Rattus norvegicus: one gene and its partners. The protein of the gene in region 1 purifies or fractionates together with the protein of each later gene. This does not show direct contact. Links are inferred from orthologs where the notes say so. Each region holds a gene or a part of one and is shown in the gene's direction. Other genes may lie near its edges.

Region 1 (4,255 bases):
TTCTTAAACTCCGTTGAGTTTTTTGATTGTTTTTTTTTGTTTTGTTTTTGTTTTTGTTTGTTTGTTTTTTGCTTTTTTTGTTTTTTGGTTTTTTTTTTTTTTTTTTTGAGACTCTTGGCTATCCTGGAACTCATTCTGTAGACCAGGCTGGCCTCCCATTCTTAAGAGATCTGCCCCACTCTGCCTCACAAGTGGTACATGTGAGGCACCACACTGACTTGCTCCTTTCAGTTTTTTACCTTATTGTTTAAGGAGTTACCCCTCCGGATAGAATGTTTCAATCCTTCAGGAAAGTGTTACACAGCACCTGAATCCAAGTCCCGGAATTTCACTGTCTTTCTCCAGCGTCCCCACCCACAGCTCTTTATATTTTCCCTTGGCTTTTTATTTCTTCACAACACTTAAGTGCAAATATTGTATTTTGCCTGTCTTTTCACTCTGGAAACATGGCTGGCTCCAATGCTATAGGTATTAAGCAAATTTTCTTGAAGAAACCTCTAATTAGGGGATTCAATGTCTTGTGTTTTGGTTTCTACTTATTTATGTCTCACACTGTTAGGTGTGCGTCACCAGTAAGAAGGTAGATATACGTAGTTAGTATAAGAAAAGTTATATTTTATTATGCTGAAGGTCATCATGCAAGGTTTACACTCTAAACTCCTTACATTCCTAAGCCTGTCTTCCCAAGGCTGTTCACCTGTGTGACCTATCTTAGCTTCAGGTCAGGTCTAATCTCTAACAGAAGTCTCTGATTTGAGGGTCAGGATTCTGAGGGAGATTCTCTAGCCACAGAACAGATCAAGGTGCATCTCTCCAGATACGTAGAGCAAAGCATTGCTTTTGGTCTCTGCTTATATTTTGTCCAGTAGGCATCATGGGATTCTAGGACTATGTCATCTCCATGTCACTGGGCTCTGGGTATCAGGAGCAGCCTTAGGTACTGTAGGGTTCCTGACTAATCTGTTTTTATATGTCCAAAAGGCATCTTTTTTATTTATTATTCTCATTACAGGGTGAAAATATTTTTCTGGGTCTGGGTCATCTTTTTGGTTTCTGTCCCACTCTGACGGTCTAAGTGCATAAGAGTGCAGAATGTGGGCCACGTATTCCTAGAGGCCTGTCTGTCTCAGGGGTCCCGTGGCTGGTGTGCAGTGAGTCCTCTGGTCTCAAGTCCCTGGTCCCGCGCGAGTTCGTTCTGGACCAGGTACAGTGGTGGGACTCTGTGGGGTCATTATGCCTAAGTTCCAATCTAGCTTTCTAGAGCTACCCAGCCCTTAGCTTTCTGAACGCACGTGACGTCCCTCCCCCGCAGCCGCAGTGCTCCTGGCTTACTTCGCTGCTTCCGCCGGCCCGCGAGACTCCGCCCTCTCTGAGGGGAGAAGCCAATCATCACGCACGCCCTTGACTCCGCCCTAGCGCCCCTCGACGCGAGTCCTTCCCTCCTCCCACTCGCTGCCCGCCCGCCCGTCAGGCAGGAAGGCAGGCAGTGGTTCTACCGGCGGTTAGTTCTCTCTTCTGTGTTGTCCTCCCTCCTCGTTCCCGATCGCCGCCAGCGGCTGCTACACGGGCGGCGGCGCGGTTCCTGTGGGAAGCGCAGCACAAGTCGAGCGGTAACCGCGAAGCGTCGAGCCCAACGCGGCGGAGGCTGTGCAGCCAACATGGCGGCGGCGGCGGCGGCGGGCCCGGAGATGGTCCGCGGGCAGGTGTTCGACGTGGGGCCGCGCTACACTAATCTCTCGTACATCGGAGAAGGCGCCTACGGCATGGTTTGGTAAGTGTCTGCGCTGGTTTGCAGGCCCGGCCTCACGCGGTCATCCTGTGCCCCCTGCCTATGGCTGATCTGGACGCAGCTGCGGCCTTTCCCGCGCCTTGGCCTCGCGGTCCGCGGCGCCCCCGGACCCGTGGCTTCTCCTTGGCCCGCACTCCTGGGGCCCTGGGGCGGGGTCCCGGGGGCCCTTTCGAGGTTTAAGTGTTGCTCTGCTGCTTCCTGAGCTGACCCTTCGTTTGCTGTTGGAAGGGCATCTCAGACCGAGGCCAGGACTCGAAGACTCCCGGGCTTGGTCTCGAGCGCGTACTTTCGAGGCTTCTCCCTTGGGTCGGGAACGGAAGTGCACCATGTCCCCTAGTTCATAGCGTTATAGCCGCCGCCTTTTGACATTAGATTAAAACTAGGAATTCCATTAGATGCATGTCCGTGGTGGTGGCGGCGGCAATGGTTTTGCAAGACGGAATAATGGGCTTGTGTGCTGAGCACCAAAATATTTTTATTCTCTCTGTGTACGTGAACAGCATTCACAAAATATCTTCAGTAGAGCTAATGATGCGTTCTACCTCAGGCTTTCTAAAAAACAATGACACAGCGTTGGTTGTGGATATACTGAAATCTTGAAGTTTCAAAATGGATTTAAATATCATACCGATTGTGTTTCAGGAAGGATAAACCAGCATCACTCTTAGAATTATTAAGATGTATTTGGAGTTAGGCCTAACTCCAAATTTGACTTTAAATTACCCCGTCGTTACCCTCAAAAGTACATGTGAATGTATCCATAGGTATTAGCCCTATTTACTGTGGTCGTTTCCCTAACGTTTTAGTGTTCACTATATATACACAACCACTTACAGTACTTTCTGCTTGTGGAATGAAGTGTATTGTTTTAATTAAAGCAAGTTCATTTATCGAAGGTTTCTGAGGTAGTTAATTTTACTTGGATAGCCATCTTGAAGAAAGAGAAGACACCCTTTTTCAGATAAGGTATTGAAAGGAAGTCTTTTTCCCAAGGGTGAAGAACTAGAATCATGCTTTCTATATATAGAAAGATCCTGGTTTAAATGCTTCAGCTCCTCAGCTATGATTGCACACGCCTTTCCTTGATTTATTAATAATTTCAGAACTTCAGCATATTTTCCTGATGAACAAGTCTATTTCAGAAATGCATTCAAATTTGAATGGTCATAATTTTAGAAATGCCAAGAAAGATGTGTTTTCACCAAGTGTGTTAACTAGGTAGAATAATTAACTTTCCTTTTTAAAGGACCGGAGAATAGTTATATTCTTATGAGCAAAATGTTTCATAGTATACAATTATGAAGGTAAAAGTGAACTGGACCTGCGAGTCAAAGGGGAAATTAAATTTAGGTCACGGTTACAAGAAAGTCTTTGTAAAGGAATGGGGAAAAATTACTTTCCACATCACATCTGTCTTGCATGTATTACTGCCCTTGCACTTGCTGGTAAGTATGCCAGTAACTCTTATTATTGACACTCAAATGATTACCCACCATAGTCTCATTTATTTAAAAAAAAAAAAAGAATAAAAAAGCTTACTTTAAATAGAGACAAAAAAATTTAGGACCACCTTAATAAGATGGATTGTTTAGATCCTGTTGCTATTGACCTTTGAAGTTTCCGCTTGCTGTGCAGAATTCTTTTTAAAATTCACATTTTAGGGGTGGAGAGATGACTCAGCAGTTAAGAGCACTGGCTGCTCTGGGTTCGATTCCAATGACAGCCTAGTCTGTAATTATAGTTCCAGAAGATGAGATGTTCTCTTAAGTCATGCATTTAAGCAAGACATTCATATGCATAAAATAAATAAAACTAATTAATTTTTTAAGACAAGGTTTCTCTGTGTAATCACCCTGGCTATCCTGGAACTCAATTTGTAGATGAGGCTGGCACCTACAAATTTTAATTTTAAGAAAAATACAAATATAATTGAAATTTAAATCCAAGCATCAGCCTCTTATCTCCAGATAATGTATCTTAGTATTTATTTAATATTCTTAATTGTGTGTCATTATCATCTGATTATTGCTGAGTTTATGGCAGCTTCTCAGCTTAAGTATCCACTTGAATAGTGATCTTTAAAAGCTGGAAAGACGGGGTTGGGGATTTAGCTCAGTGGCCCTGGGTTCGGTCCCCAGCTCCGAAAAAAAGAAAAAAAAAAAAAAGCTGGAAAGACGGCATAGTGGTTGAGTACCTGCTGCTTTTGCAGGACCTAAGCTCAGATCCCTGCATCTGTGTTACGTGACACTACCACCCACCACCTACTGCACCCCTCCTTCCAAGGGCATCTACACACATGTGGTCCAACGAAGACTCACTAGGGTACACACCCTGGAAACTGATTTAAGAATAACTCTTTAAAAAAATTACTTGGGGGTTGGGGATTTAGCTCAGTGGTAGAGCGCTTGCCTAGGAAGCACAAGGCCCTGGGTTCGGTCCCCAGCTCCGAAAAAAAGACCAAAAAAA
Region 2 (3,335 bases), on another chromosome or scaffold:
CTGCATTTAAAGACAGAGTCCTACCACACCCAGTTAGAGTCCCAAGCTTCGAGAACTGTCTGTTTGCTCTTTGTTTTCTTTTTCCAAAAAGAAGAGGGTGAAAATAGAAACCACTATCAGATGTTTAGTAGATTCTTCTTTCTCAAATCTAAGGGTGGTTCAAGATTTGCAGAACAGCTCAACATTGAAAGAAGCAGAAATTAAAGAAATCACATCTTCATATCTTGAGAAAATAACTGATTTGCAAAATCAACTCAGACAACAAAATGAAGACTTTAGGAAGCAGCTGGAAGAGGAAGGGGCAAAGTAAGTCAGGCTGGACCTTAAATGCTATGGAACATGGTTTTTCCTAGTAAATTGAAAAAGATAATTCAATTTTAAATTTAATTTTCCCATACAGAATGACAGAGAAAGAAACTGCAGTGACAGAATTAACCATGGAAATTAATAAATGGCGTCTCCTATATGAAGAACTGTATGACAAAACTAAACCTTTTCAGGTTTGTGGCTTGTTATTAAACTTACTTGTGGGCTGGATCTGAAGTTAAGATATTGCCTCCTCTTCCAGAGGTTCAGTTCCTGGGCTCAATTCCCTGTAACCACATGGTGGTTCCAGACTGGCTATAACTCCAGTTTCAGGCCATCCAACAACTTTTCAGGCTTTCTGGGCGCCATGTTGCCCAGACATAAGTGTAGACAAAACACCCATACGCCTAAAAAAAAAGTTAAATAAAATAAAAATAGATAAATAAACTTATTGTGATCTGTTTTCAGAATGTATTTCTTCCATGAGTCTTGAGCTCAGCTACCACTGAGTAAGTGTGCTTGGCACGTACAGTTCCCAGAGATACACAAAAAGTAAAGCCATAAAAAACGGGCATTTTGTATTACTATTTATCATTTTCCCAGCCAACTGACAAATTTACCTGACACTAAATTTTAATGTGATGGTATAATATAAAAAATGCTTTCTAATCAACAATTTGAAATTAGTGATCCTGAAAACTCTCCTGGTAGGAACATCAATCATTTACCTGTTATTTTGTGATGTGTATTTCGGTATGATCCATCCCAGCATTTCTCCAGTCACTGTAGTGATATTTGCGTTGTATGTTATCCTTTGGTTTAAAGACAAGGTATTGCTATAGAATCCAAGCTGCCTGGTGCTCACTGTGCCAAGCCTGGGATCTGAAGTGTTCCTTCTTCTACTCCCCAAGTGCTAGCATTAGGAACATCAGCCTCTGTGCCTGACTAGCTTTCCCCTTGAGATTCTAGGCTGGAATGTTCTCTGGAGCTGAATTTGTGCTTGAATTCCTGACCTCTTGCTTCTGCCTCCTGAATGCTGAATTTATGGCCACAGATCATCACACATGACAATCCCCTAAGCTCTTTAAAGAGAAAGGAGCCAGGTGTGGTGGTAGCACACACCTTTAGTCCCAGCACTCAGGAGGCAGACGCAAGTGGTGTTACTTGAGTTTAACAACAGCCTGGTTCTAAGTTCTTGGACAGCCAGGACTGTAGTGAGACTCTTTTTTTTTTTTTAAATCTAGAAACACGCAAACAAGCCTACAAACAAAAGGAAGGTCTAATTGGAATGGAAGCAGATGTTGAAAAAGTTTAGTCCAAGCATGACCACAAATGCTTATGCTGCTGTGAGGCAGGAGCAGAGGGTGCACAAGTTCAGCAAGCTAGTCTTGGTTTCAGTACTGATATATGCTAATTCATCTTTTCCAGCAACAACTGGATGCCTTCGAAGCAGAGAAGCAGGCACTGTTGAATGAACATGGTGCAACTCAGGAGCAGCTAAGTAAAATCAGAGACTCCTACGCACAGCTGCTTGGCCACCAGAATCTGAAGCAAAAAATCAAACATGTCGTGAAATTGAAAGATGAAAACAGCCAGCTCAAATCGGTTTGTAAAATAACACCCATATTCAGATATGCTAAAACCAAAGATACTGACCAGTTTATAGAGGCCAATTCTTCTGAGAGCTAACGGACTTACTTAGTGTTAACCAGATAGTGTAGGTTGATATCATTATGCAGGCGAAGGCAGATGCAGGGTAGAACGAGGCTGTTGTTGGACAAGAAGGAAGGGTGGGTGGGAAGTAAGATTTACAGAGGCAGAGGGGACCTGAGCATGGGGGCTGGCAGCCAAGAGAACATGGCGGATGTTAAGATTCCTCTCTGTACACTCACAGGTTATTACGACTGTTCTTAAGGGGTGGATGTGTACAGGATTTTGTGTTGTCTAGATGGGCAAATTGCATCTTATCTGGGTGGATGGCTTATATCCTTATCGATTGGTTGTAAGTTTATTGTGTACATATATTGTGGATTGAGAATGTAACGTGTAAATCTAGTTGCTAAATTACAAGTTTCTGGAACTTTGATTACCAGGCTAAAGAGGACAGTGTGTGACAGAAATGGCTAAAAGGCAGTTGGAACACGCGGATCTGCCTACGTGGAGTGAGAATGCACAGGGTCTGCAGAACGAGGGGTGTGTGTGTGTGTGTGTGTGTGTGTGTGTGTGTGTGTGTGTGTGTGTGTGTGTGTGTGTGATGCATAGTAACTACCTCCTAGGGGACCGCACAAGAGGACTGCTAAAAGGGAGACAGCCAGAGTGAGCGACTTGCAGACCGTGTGATAAAGTAGCAGCTGGAATGGGTGGATCCAGCTCATGGGAACTAATAGAAAATGTTCGTTTTTTAATTTTTACCACAACTACTTAGTTTTTTACTTAGTTTTATAATGGCTGAGAAGTTAGAAACTATAAAATTTTACACGTTCATTTCTATTTACAAAATAGCCATTCCTTTTTCTAACTACTATGAAGATAAGTAGTATTCAAAAGAATGATTATTTAATTTCTCTTTCCTTTTAGAAAGTCAGTTTATATTTTATTTTTGGCATACATTATACAAAACAATGGGTTATATTACCTGAGATATGGGTGTTTATAGTATGTTGATTTTGATTCTTCCTGGTTTATACCAGAAGCTGTAAACTGGACCCAGTAGTAGTGTTAATTTTCAGTTTTGAAGAGCTTCGATACTGACTTGCTTAGGTCCTGGTAAAAAGAGCCTGGCCATCCTCCGTCAGCAGAAGCCCTTGGCACTCACACATCTCCAGTCCAGTTTTGAGATTTTATAAGAACGCAGTTCCCCTATGGACGGGTCAGCAGAAAGGCAGTCCACTTTGTACAACTGAGAGGACAAGGGTTGCAAGCCATCTTGGGATGGAACCTGTTGTTAAAACTAAACTACCATGGAGGCTGTGAATGGGAAACAATCCCAAGTCAGGGAGCCTGAAGTTAGCCTGGCACAGCTCCCTAGG
Region 3 (2,169 bases), on another chromosome or scaffold:
GTTGGGGATTTAGCTCAGTGGTAGAGCGCTTCCCTAGCAAGCGCAAGGCCCTGGGTTCGGTCCCCAGCTCCGAAAAATAGAAAAGAAAAAAAAAAACACACACACACACTGGGATGAGTGGGGTTGTAGTCCTCAGTGTAGCGTAGGGGACCTTCCCACAGTAGCGCCCCTCATCCCACTGTGCGTCTCCCTCACCTGCTCGTGGTGGTTCCTGAAATCCGCCGAGGTCCCTAATCATGTCGCACTTTCTGCCCCAGACGCAGTGAAGGACTGCCGAGGGCGAGTGCTGGTTCACTGCCAGGCCGGCATCTCTAGATCAGCCACCATCTGCCTGGCCTACCTGATGATGAAGAAACGGGTGAGGCTGGAGGAGGCTTTCGAGTTCGTCAAGCAGCGCCGTAGCATCATCTCGCCCAACTTCAGCTTCATGGGCCAGTTGCTGCAGTTCGAGTCTCAGGTGCTCACCACGTCCTGCGCAGCGGAGGCCGCCAGCCCTTCCGGGCCCCTGCGGGAGAGGGGGAAGGCCACTCCCACCCCCACCTCGCAGTTCGTCTTCAGCTTCCCCGTGTCCGTGGGTGTGCACGCGGCTCCCAGTAACCTGCCGTACCTGCACAGCCCCATCACCACCTCCCCCAGCTGTTAGGACTAGTCACGGGACACCGAGTCCAGAGTCGGCCCCAGCCAGTGTGCAAGCCACATGTGAGGAGCGAATAGGGACTGACCAGTGGGGGACCAGGTGACCGTCCCCATCCATTTCTCCTTGGCCGACCACAGGGCCAGCTAGGATGGCAATAACTATGACTTTGAATACACATTTAAAACAAACACAGCTAAACACCCACAGCCTAGAGCAATAAGAGCAGCTTCCGCTGCCAGAGAAGACTTGGATTTTGTGTCCGTTTTTCCTTTGCAGGTAGAAATTTACCTCATTATTATTATTATTATTTTTTAAAGCAATCAAGCTTGAAAGTTATGAAGCCCACAGATCCTGGCAAATGTGCCCAACCAGTTTTATTGAGTGGAGAGGGAAGGAGGAGAAAGTTGAGTTTGCCAGAAAAGTGCCTGGTTCTGTGTGCATATTCTTCTGTTGTTGGACCCACAGCAGTTTTGTTCTAGATCCTTCTAGGCCACAGTATTCTGGTTAGCCGTCAACTGGATAATTGATGTTTAATGAGTATTGAGAACCTGAGCATGTGTGTGTGTGCGTGTGTGTGCAGGAGTCTGGTGGCTTTGGGATATGTTTCTGTTGAGGTCACACACAGAGACACAAAGCTGTGCTGGCGGTGAGGGGAGTGTGGCAGGTAGGTGGTCGCTGGGGTCACCGTCTTTCATCGTTGCCACTGAGAAGCAGGCAGGGTGACTTGCAAGGAACAAGGTTGGTCACTTTTTGCAGCTGGCTCCTGGGCCCACTGACCCAGCCGGGCAAGCTTTTCTCTCTAGTTTGACTGCGGGTAGAGCATTTGGCCTAGGATCTGGATATCGTCTGGGGAAATGCCATCTTTTCTAAGGTGCTCCTGGAAAACTGGGTGCAATTCAGATTTTCCTACCGTGAATCATTTTGGTAAGGCCAGCTCAGAACCAGATCACTGAAGATGAACTAAAAATGAATCTCCTCTTGGCGTTGATCTCCTCCCTCCCTCGGATAAATTGGGCGTTTCAGTTCTAGGAGTTTACTTGAAGTATACATACCAAGAAATTCTTGTTACGAAATCCCTGTCAAGTGAATACTTTGAAAAGTCCTCCCTCTTTTGAGTAAAAAGATAAGTGTATGTCTGACTTGGGGCTCCTTACGGTCTGGAAGGGAGAGAGCAGAGTTGGGGGGCTGCGTGCTAGCTCCTATCTTACTGATAGTGACTCAGAAGCCATGTTGGGTTCTGACTGGGCCAACACCATTTTAAAAGAGCCTTTCCAAGTGGAGGAAAGGCATTGGAGTGTGTTTTCTAGGGGGAAGGTGCAGGGTGGGGAGGGAACCTGTTTCGTCTGTAGTTTTGGGGGACAGTTTTGTGACGGCATGTCAGATTAGATAGAGGTCACTGCAGACCTGGCAGAAATGAGCACGGTCCCGCCCCCCTCCCCCACTTTGAGCATAAATATAAAACTACAAGTGTCCACGTTACATCATGATGGAATGCTTTCTCATCCAGAGTCCCAGACAGCCCGGGCTCATGG
Region 4 (4,177 bases), on another chromosome or scaffold:
CTTGATGCATATTGCTACACTATTTCCAAAATGGTGCTACCAAAACAAAATCCCTCCTAGGATAAGAACACCACATGTGTTTCACAGCAACCTTGCCAACTCTTGGCGGTCTCATTTTGAGAACATTCTACTAATGTCGTGACTGGGAAGTATTTCCTTATTTTTTTTTTTTTGAATTGGCTTTCCTTCCCTGCCTGAGCTTCAACCTTTCCCCAAATATTCTTACCCCATCACATTCCTTCCTTCGGGCAGAGTATGCAGTCCTTGAGTTCCTTACCCATTTATCTACGGGGTCTTAACCCTTTGATTATTTTGTGCGAGCTTTATCTTATCTGTTGTGTGTTTTCCTTTAACGCTGTTATTTGCTTTTCTTGGGCTTTTAGCAGAGAAAGGACACATGGCCAAATGGGGCTTTTTTAGAAGCCTCCCCTGCCTCTCCTTTCATTGTCAGCACTTATCACCCCGATATCTGGTCCAGTGCCTTTGCTTATTGTTGGTGTGTCCTGCTGGACTGGAAGACCCAGGCAAGGAGAGCCCTTGTGTGTCTTTCCTGTTCATTACCTGTCTGATGGGCTGGTTGGAGGCCACTAGCCTTTGTGGACTGAATAGTGCTCTGGAATGGGGCAGGGTGGAGACAAGCTGAAGTTTCAGAAACTGGGACACTGACATGTATAGTCATGACCACTGCAAAAGCCAGAAGGAGCATGGGGATAGGGACATATTGCAGTAAAACTACTTCCCTCCACGTGGATCCATCCAGGGGGTTATGGGAAAGATGTTATGGGGAGGCGCCCGCCTTCACCTGATAAGAGCACAGTGTCTCAGTTTAAAGTCGAGTGCTCAGAATTCCTGCGTACCTTTAGCTAGACCTGTACAAATGAAGCCCAGATGGAAATAGCGCACCCGGGAACTGCCTTGTCACTTCAGTTTTTTAGTGGCATCTCACAGTAGAACACTTTAGAAGGCTCCGATTAGCCCATTATACAGATGGGGGCCATCTAGTTCCAGATCAGGATTGTTGAGTTGTTCGAGACAGTTTCTGGTTCTGGGGCTCTGGGCTTTTGTCCCCACCCCTCTTCCTGCTTCCAGGGACCAGACTGGCGCCAAGCAGGGGCAACTGCAACATGTCCCCTGCTGGGCCCCCGACCTGCCCTTGGCCTCTGCCCCGACCCTGTCCCGCCTGGGTGGAAGCCCTAGCTCAGCTTGAGGTTTGCAACTCCCACCAGGCTATTCGTTAGCACTGGTTGGCTCGCCTGCCCCCTGAGACCGCCCCACCGCCCCGCCCCGTCCCGCCCCTTTGAGCTGCTACTTAGTCCGTCCGAAGGCAGAGCCTTCCAAGGTGGAATCTGGATCCGGCAGCCAGGAAGCGGCCAGCGCACGAGTGGCGCGAGGCTTGGCTTCCACGTGCGAGCCTGCTCCACCACCCCGCCCTCTCTGAGCGCCGGAGCCTGGGGACTCCGTCTCCATGAACGATACCTGCGCCCTGCCTTGGCACTAGCTGTGGTGAGGACGTCCGCGTTTGGCCGCCTGCCTCTGGATCTCGCTCCAGGTCTCTCCTTTTGTTCTCTCCTGGGGTGGGTAGGAGTGGGGCCGAGTCAGCTCTTACGGGACGGGACTCGCCGAGGCCCATCACCTCGGTGACCCTCTTGTTCTCTGGGTCTTCCCGGCTAGAGAGGAGAGCCGGGCCTTGAACCCAACTTCTCCACCCATCCAAAATCGAACTTGGGGAGTGATGGAGATCAGAGTAAATGAGAAAGTCAGAAAAGGGGTGTGGAGGGAACTGGTTTTAGTCCTCCTAGCACCTCAGAAAATGCCTTCATTCAAGAGGCCGCTAGACGCCTAGCTATCTTCTGGGGTATATCTCTTGAAACTCCATGTGTTAAGCGGGGCAGGGAACAGCGCCCAAGTGGCGGCAGCCTCGGGTCTTTTTCCCGGGGCGCCTTCCTTGGTGTTCTCACTGTGGGTGGAGCGCGAGGAGAGAAGCAGGCGGTAGAGGAATGTCCCTGCGGGGACACTGAGCGCCTTCCCTCAGGACAGGGGTTGACTTCCCGCCTCAGTAGCCTGGTCCACGCTGCGGGAGTAGAGAAAACTTGCCCTCACCCCGCGCCTTGACTCTCTCCACAGCGCCCGCTGCCCGACGTGCAGGACGCTGCGCGACCATGGAGAGTCTGAGTCGGTCATGCCTGTGGCTGCGTCAGGAGCTGTCGTCCCCGCGCCCACAGCTTCTGATACTGGACTGCCGCAGCCGGGAGCTGTATGAGTCGGCGCGCATCTGCGGGGCGCTGAGCGTGGCCCTGCCCTCGCTGATGCTGCGCCGCCTGCGGAGAGGGAGCATGTTGGTGCGGTCGCTCTTGCCTGGGCCACCGGTGCAGCCTCCGCCACCGGCCCCTGTGATCCTCTATGACCAGGGTAGTGGCCAGTGTCAGCCCGAAGCAACGGAGGCTGAAGCTAAGGCCGAAGCGGAGGCCAAAGCCGAGGCCGAAGCGGAGGCCAAAGCCGAGGCCGAAGCGGAGGCCAAAGCCGAGGCTAAAGAGGAAGCTGAAGAGTGGGATGCTGACTCGGTGCTGGGCATCCTGCTCCAGAAGCTGCGGGAAGAAGGCTACCCAGCATACTACCTACAGGGTAAGTGAGGGTCAGTGGTCTGAGAGAGAGCGCTCTGGAGAGGCCTCAGGTCGGGAGAAAAGGTCCTTCTTTCCAAGGGGAGTTCATAATTAATTTAACCTTCGGCAAACTCAGTCTTATTTTGTCTAAAATATAGGGTAAGGGCCTCCCTCCAATAAGCTGCTGGAGAGCTTTTGGAGGTGGGGAGATGAGCATGACCTTGGGCAAGTCCTTCATCCCTCCAAGCCCATTTATAAATCTGGAAAATGGGGAGAATTGATCTGAAACAACCTGGGTCACAGGCTATTGCCCCGGGACTAAGGGCTGCATTGGGCACTTGCCATGCTGAGCGAGGGTGGATGGGTGTCCATAGCATAGCACGTGTAAGGAATCTGCTGGCTTATGTGTTCCCCTTAGCAATATCTGCAACCCCCAATCCGGGGAGCTGTATAGGCCAGGGATACCTGGCTGCCAGGAAGGCATGTTAGTAAGACCTCACCCTTTTTTCCTGACAGGCGGCTTCAGCAAATTCCAGGCCGAGTGTCCTCACCTGTGTGAAACCAGCTTCAGTGGTCGCGCTGGCTCAGGCCTGGGCTCAATGTCTAGCCCAGTGCCTGTGGTAGGGCTTGGTGGCCTGTGCTTGAGCACTGATTTCTCTGATGCAGAGTCCGAGGCTGACCGAGACACCTTGAGCTGTGGCCTAGATTCTGAGAGCACCACATCCCCTCCAGCTGGGCTGCTACCACCCTTCCCAGCCCAGATCCTGCCCAATCTCTACCTAGGCAGTGCTCGCGATTCAGCCAATTTGGAAAGCCTTGCCAAGCTTGGCATCCGCTATATCCTCAATGTCACCCCTAACCTTCCTAACCTCTTTGAGAAGAATGGTGACTTCCACTACAAGCAGATCCCCATCTCTGATCATTGGAGCCAGAATCTGTCTCAGTTCTTTCCGGAGGCCATTGCATTCATAGGTGAGTCCTCCCTACCCCTCCCCCAGCCCACTCTATCCACCCACCAGACTGATTCCTGGCCACCTCCTCCTTACTCTCTGCATTCCCAGAGCACATGTGACACTTGGGGAGGTGGGGGTAGAGCTCAGGTTAGCTACCAGTGAGACCTCCCAGATATGCTCTAAGCAGGGTGGGGAGACAACGATGATGACCCCAGAAATTCACTTAGCTTTGGCCTCACTCATGGTGACCCTTAGGGGGTGTTTCTGTTCTTTCCTGTTCTACCTAGATGAGGCCTTGTCACAGAACTGTGGGGTGCTCGTCCACTGTCTGGCAGGGGTCAGCCGCTCTGTCACTGTCACCGTGGCCTACCTCATGCAGAAGCTTAACCTCTCACTCAACGATGCCTACGACTTGGTCAAGCGGAAGAAGTCTAACATCTCACCTAACTTCAACTTTATGGGGCAACTGCTAGACTTTGAACGCAGCCTGCGCCTGGGGGAGAAGCGCTCTGGTGGGAGGGGCAGTGGGGGGCCAGAGTCCACTGTCTCAGACCCACCTTCCTTTTTTACTACCCCCACCAGTGATGGGGTTTTTGAGCTGGATCCCACATAAAGCTGTCTGGA
Region 5 (4,291 bases), on another chromosome or scaffold:
CCTCATTGGGATTTTATGAGTATGAAGATGTTACGGACAATGCTTGGCTCACAGCCTGGCACATCGTGAGCACTCAGGATTGAGAGCTGTTATTGTAACAATGATGATTATTGCTGGACCACGCTGCTCCCAGAGGGTTACAATATCCGTGGGGAGCTGCACTGTCCGTAGGCAAGGTTACATAATTCCCCAAAGGGGTGACACTTCCCTGGAGGCCATGGTCTCCCTAAGGAGGAGGCAAGAGACTTCTCTGCGGCACCCGTGAGCTGGTTTAAAGGCTGAATAGGAAACCGGCAATGGAGAAGTTTGGGTTTGAAGCCTTAAGCACCTATAGCCTGAACCAGATAGGCCTTCCCTCTTGCCTGCTGCGTCTCTGATTCATCATCCTTTCAGTCTCCTAGCCCCATATCTCTTCCTTTGGCCACTCCGGTTTATTTTTCATTATTTCCCTGAGAATGTTCAGGCTTAGCTTATGAGAGTATAGCTTCTGTTTCCCCTCTACCCAGCAGCAGCAGGCTGCCTACCTGCATCCGATCGGTACCCCGATTTCCTGTTTCCCGAGCCTCAGGCTCCATCCATTCTTCCCATCTGCTGCAGCGAACGCAGACTTAACACTTCCCCTACGCTCAGGCCTTTGGTCTTAAGCCCTGTCTTCCTCTCTCCTGGCGACCCCCAATGCTCCTCCGGAGCACATTTGTTCAGACTTGGGTCGCCCCCAGCATCCTGGCACTATCTCCGGAACCCCCTGCTCCAGTGTGGAGGTGGGGTACCTCCGGCCGGGCTCCCAGGACAGCTGCAGCCTAGGGACCGTGGTGATTGTGGGGGCTCCCGAATGCATTCTCTGGTCACTTCCTCCGCAGCTGGACTGGGTCTATCAGGAAGGCCAAGACCCCATCTCCACAGGAGTCGAGGGTACAACCGCCTCCCCATTTCCGATGCTGGGAAATGTTTCCCACCCATTCCACCCCACCCCTGGACAGCTGCCCTCTTTCAGGCTCGGGGTTGAGGGGGGTTGGGTAAACTCAGGCTGGGAAATGGCTCTGCTCTTGATCATCCTCCAAGAACCAGACTCCGCCCCCCTGCAGAGAAGATTCTGCCCCTTCCCCACAAAAATTTCTAATCGTCCCCCTTCATAAAATTCCTTTCCTCCAAAAGGTCCCAAAAGAAACTCTGGAGCCAGGAAAGGGCAGAAGAGAGGCAGCAGGTACTGAGCGCTGAAGACTTAAGTTCTTCTGACTTAGAGACTCCAAGAAGGGTCGTGACCCCCAGGACCACCCCCCAGCCCCTCTCTGCCCTCTTCTCCCCTTCCGCCCCCCCAACCCCCCCGCCGCGCGGGCCCTTTAAGCCTAGAGCCGACCGGTCCTCAGTGGCTGCGCGCCGGCAAGCGTGTGTGAGTGCGCGGGAGGGGGCGGGCACAGTGTCTCCATGGCGACGCGGTGGTGACGTCGCCGGCCGGGGGGCGTGGGCGTCCCGGCCCCGGAGTGCGATATTAACCCGGGAGGCGGCGGCGGGGAGGGGAGAGGCTCTGAGAGGCGAGGCCGGGTGCGGCGGCGAGGGCGTCCCAACGGGCGCGGGACGGGACGGGGCAACGCGGGCGCCTGGAGCAGCGGCCCGGAGTCGGGGCGCCTTGCCCCGGGCCCCCCAGCATGAAGACCCCAGCGGACACAGGTGGGGGCGGGGGCAGCACGTGTGGGGGAGACTTGTTGCCCCGGGAAACCGGGAGGAAAAACTTTGGGTGGGGGCTGAAGGGGTTCTGGGGAGCCCGATTGATACCCAGTTCTTGGGGACCCCCAAGCACTCGAGACCTGTTGCTTCTCGCGGCGCGAGCTGGGGTGCTGCCTGGAAGCCCCAATTCCGTGGGTCTTTTCGGAATGGTGTGGGTGCTGCGGGTGCTGTTCTTTCCCTGCCCGGACCGGGCAACCTGGGTTCTCCCGGGATCACTGGGGTGGCAGAGTCCCCTCCCTGTCGTTCTGTCACGTTGCACTCCGGGGGCCGGGACGTGTGCGGGGCGAGGTGGGGGTTCTGCATAGGGACCCGCTATGCTCGGTTCTGCGTTGCGCGGTCCGGCCCGTGACCTTCACGGCGGCGCGTGCCCAGCACCCGGTGAGCGGGATACGGGATGGCCTGGAGCTGGGCGTGAGTGGGGAACACGGGACTCGGGGTCCGGGCTGCACCGCCCCTCCCCCGTCCGTCTCCTCGCTCCCCCGCCCGGACTGAGTCGCAAAGTTCCAAAGCGCAGCCCGAACGTTCGAAAAAGGAACTTTTTGTTTCCGACCTTAGAACGCGCGGCTTTAAGGTGGCTCAGGGGAGACTTGGGTACTCTCCTCCGACGCGGGCGGAGGCTTGGGAGTTGAGGAGGGTGGGAAAGATGGGGGGGGGATGCAGAGGCTCTCTCTTCGTCCTTCCCCCCCTCACCGATTCTGCGCCTCTTTCAGCGGGCCGTCTTTTCCCTCCGCCCCTCTCTTCCCCGCCAAGTTGCTCCTCCTTAAGGGGCCAGGGTTCCCCTCCCCCCCCGATCGCTGGGCGGGGGGCAGCAGGATTAACCCCCCCCTCCCACTCGGACTTTCCCCCTTCCCCTCCCCCGCCGCCCCCGGGCTTGCACAGGCTGGACTTTGCGCCCGGGCGCGCGGGGGGGAGGGGGCCTCGCCGCCCCCTGCCCGTCTGCCCCGTCGGAATCCGGCCCGGGGCGGGGACGAGGGAGGGGGAAGGGGGCCGGGCGCCGCTGTTCAAACTTGTTTCCTTCCCCCGGCGGCGGCCGCGGCTCCGGCTCCTATGTGCGGGTGTGTGCCCCGACCGGCCCACCCACCCCACCTCCCTGCTCGGCGGGTGGGGGCGGCTCTTAAAGGGCTCGGAGCAGGACTCAGGCGCCAGAGGATTGGGGCTGAGGAGGGGGTCGGGGGTGGGGTAGGGGTGCGCAGTGCCGTAGGGTCAGTCACGTGCGTCCCACTTAGTCCCCCACTCCCGGACTCTCACAGGCTCCGGGGCTGCGGGGCCCTGGGGGCAGCAGGAGCCTCGCCTCACCCGGGGAGGGGACCAAGGCGCTCAGACAACCCCGCCTTGTCTTCCCTCTATGTTACGGGCCTTGGCCTGACGGGACCTGTAAGGCCACTGCAACCCTGTCTGGGGTCCCGGTCATGTGTAGATTCTCATGGGAAGGCGGGGGACCAGAACGGCCTCGAGGTCGGTTTGTTTCTCCTGACTGCCGGCCACTGCTCGCCCTTCCATCCGATCCTCCATCCCGGCGTTTCTCTGCTCCGCCGTGGCTGTTTCCCACTTCCTGTTTTCTTCCCGGCTCTGGCGCCATCGAGGTCTGCCTGGAGTGGGGGAGGTGTTGAGGCCCCCCGGGAGGCAGACGTATTTTTCCTCAACCACCACCCCTCCTATCTGACCCCTATATTCCCATAAAAAAGTTTAGGCAGTCATGTTGAGTTGGGGATTGTTTCCCAGAACTTATGCCCCGACCCAGGCTTGCACAGTCTGGGATATCCAGGTGTGCCTTCTGGGACCCAGCCATCATAGCCCTTCCTGTCTGCAGCCACCTCTACACCCTGTCTGCGTTTCTGGAGCCCTCTTTCAGTGTAGCTGCTTTCTTCCAGCCTCTCTGGACCCCCCATGCTGGAGAGGTCTTGCACCCTCAAGCTTTCTTGCTGCAGAGCTGGTGTTTCCGTGATTTAAGCACGTGGACCCGTATACAACACACACATGGTCTCCTTGCCCGTGCCTGGCTCCTGGCTCCAAGGCCTGGGGAACAGAGCCCCATTGAGACACCCTGACGTCACCCCCACTCCGTCCCCTCCCCAAAGCTGGGAACAGGCCCTCGTGTATGCTGTGTCCGATGAGGAAAGCCGGTACTGGGGTGGTGCTGGGTGGGCCTGGCATGAGGAGGGGTCTCTGCCAGAAGTAGCAACCAGGGTCCAGGCCCTGGGGGTGGTGTTTCTCAGGGAAGAAGGTTAGCAAGGGGGCCTGGGACAGCTCCCAGAATGCGGGCTTGAGGCCTTTCCAGAGCCCCCCCACCTCCTTTCCGAGTTCCCTTTGTGTTGCATGTAGTCTCTCTCTCTCACTCCCTCTCTTCTGCAAAGTTTATTTTTAGCCTCCTGCTCCCCCGCTCCCAGGACTGTCGCTGCACACACGTTGCCTGGTTACCGGGACACGGAGGCTGGGGCTGGTGGGCTGGGAAGGGTGGCTTTAGTTTTGGGGGGAGGGTGGAAGTCAGTACACCCCTCCACCTCCACATTGATGTGTTAGGGGCTTCAGCCCCCCTCTTGGGACAGGGAGCCAGATTGGAACTGAG

Evidence for each region.
Region 2: the proteins of Mapk1 (region 1) and Hmmr purify together in Homo sapiens (affinity purification with mass spectrometry; 4 studies listed by BioGRID and IntAct, with this or other methods). This does not show direct contact. The link is inferred for Rattus norvegicus from reciprocal best matches to the Homo sapiens genes MAPK1 and HMMR.
Region 3: the proteins of Mapk1 (region 1) and Dusp4 purify together in Homo sapiens (affinity purification with mass spectrometry; 6 studies listed by BioGRID and IntAct, with this or other methods). This does not show direct contact. The link is inferred for Rattus norvegicus from reciprocal best matches to the Homo sapiens genes MAPK1 and DUSP4.
Region 4: the proteins of Mapk1 (region 1) and Dusp9 purify together in Homo sapiens (affinity purification with mass spectrometry; 5 studies listed by BioGRID and IntAct, with this or other methods). This does not show direct contact. The link is inferred for Rattus norvegicus from reciprocal best matches to the Homo sapiens genes MAPK1 and DUSP9.
Region 5: the proteins of Mapk1 (region 1) and Erf purify together in Homo sapiens (co-immunoprecipitation; 3 studies listed by BioGRID and IntAct, with this or other methods). This does not show direct contact. The link is inferred for Rattus norvegicus from reciprocal best matches to the Homo sapiens genes MAPK1 and ERF.

What each region holds. Positions count from the first base shown.
Region 1 is NC_086029.1:97,525,015-97,529,269, reverse strand, and holds the start of Mapk1 (mitogen-activated protein kinase 1), read left to right. Parts: upstream 1-1,444; 5' UTR 1,445-1,658; coding exon 1,659-1,771; intron 1,772-4,255. UniProt on the Homo sapiens protein: Serine/threonine kinase which acts as an essential component of the MAP kinase signal transduction pathway. MAPK1/ERK2 and MAPK3/ERK1 are the 2 MAPKs which play an important role in the MAPK/ERK cascade.
Region 2 is NC_086028.1:25,638,063-25,641,397, reverse strand, and holds part of Hmmr (hyaluronan-mediated motility receptor), read left to right. Parts: intron 1-153; coding exon 154-306; intron 307-400; coding exon 401-500; intron 501-1,734; coding exon 1,735-1,911; intron 1,912-3,335. UniProt on the Homo sapiens protein: Receptor for hyaluronic acid (HA). Involved in cell motility. When hyaluronan binds to HMMR, the phosphorylation of a number of proteins, including PTK2/FAK1 occurs.
Region 3 is NC_086034.1:64,081,547-64,083,715, reverse strand, and holds part of Dusp4 (dual specificity protein phosphatase 4), read left to right. Parts: intron 1-257; coding exon 258-643; 3' UTR 644-2,169. UniProt on the Homo sapiens protein: Regulates mitogenic signal transduction by dephosphorylating both Thr and Tyr residues on MAP kinases ERK1 and ERK2.
Region 4 is NC_086039.1:156,501,871-156,506,047, forward strand, and holds the start of Dusp9 (dual specificity protein phosphatase 9), read left to right. Parts: upstream 1-1,366; 5' UTR 1,367-1,549; intron 1,550-2,124; 5' UTR 2,125-2,159; coding exon 2,160-2,622; intron 2,623-3,116; coding exon 3,117-3,572; intron 3,573-3,840; coding exon 3,841-4,166; 3' UTR 4,167-4,177. UniProt on the Homo sapiens protein: Inactivates MAP kinases. Has a specificity for the ERK family.
Region 5 is NC_086019.1:89,963,408-89,967,698, reverse strand, and holds the start of Erf (ETS domain-containing transcription factor ERF), read left to right. Parts: upstream 1-1,485; 5' UTR 1,486-1,646; coding exon 1,647-1,668; intron 1,669-4,291. UniProt on the Homo sapiens protein: Potent transcriptional repressor that binds to the H1 element of the Ets2 promoter. May regulate other genes involved in cellular proliferation.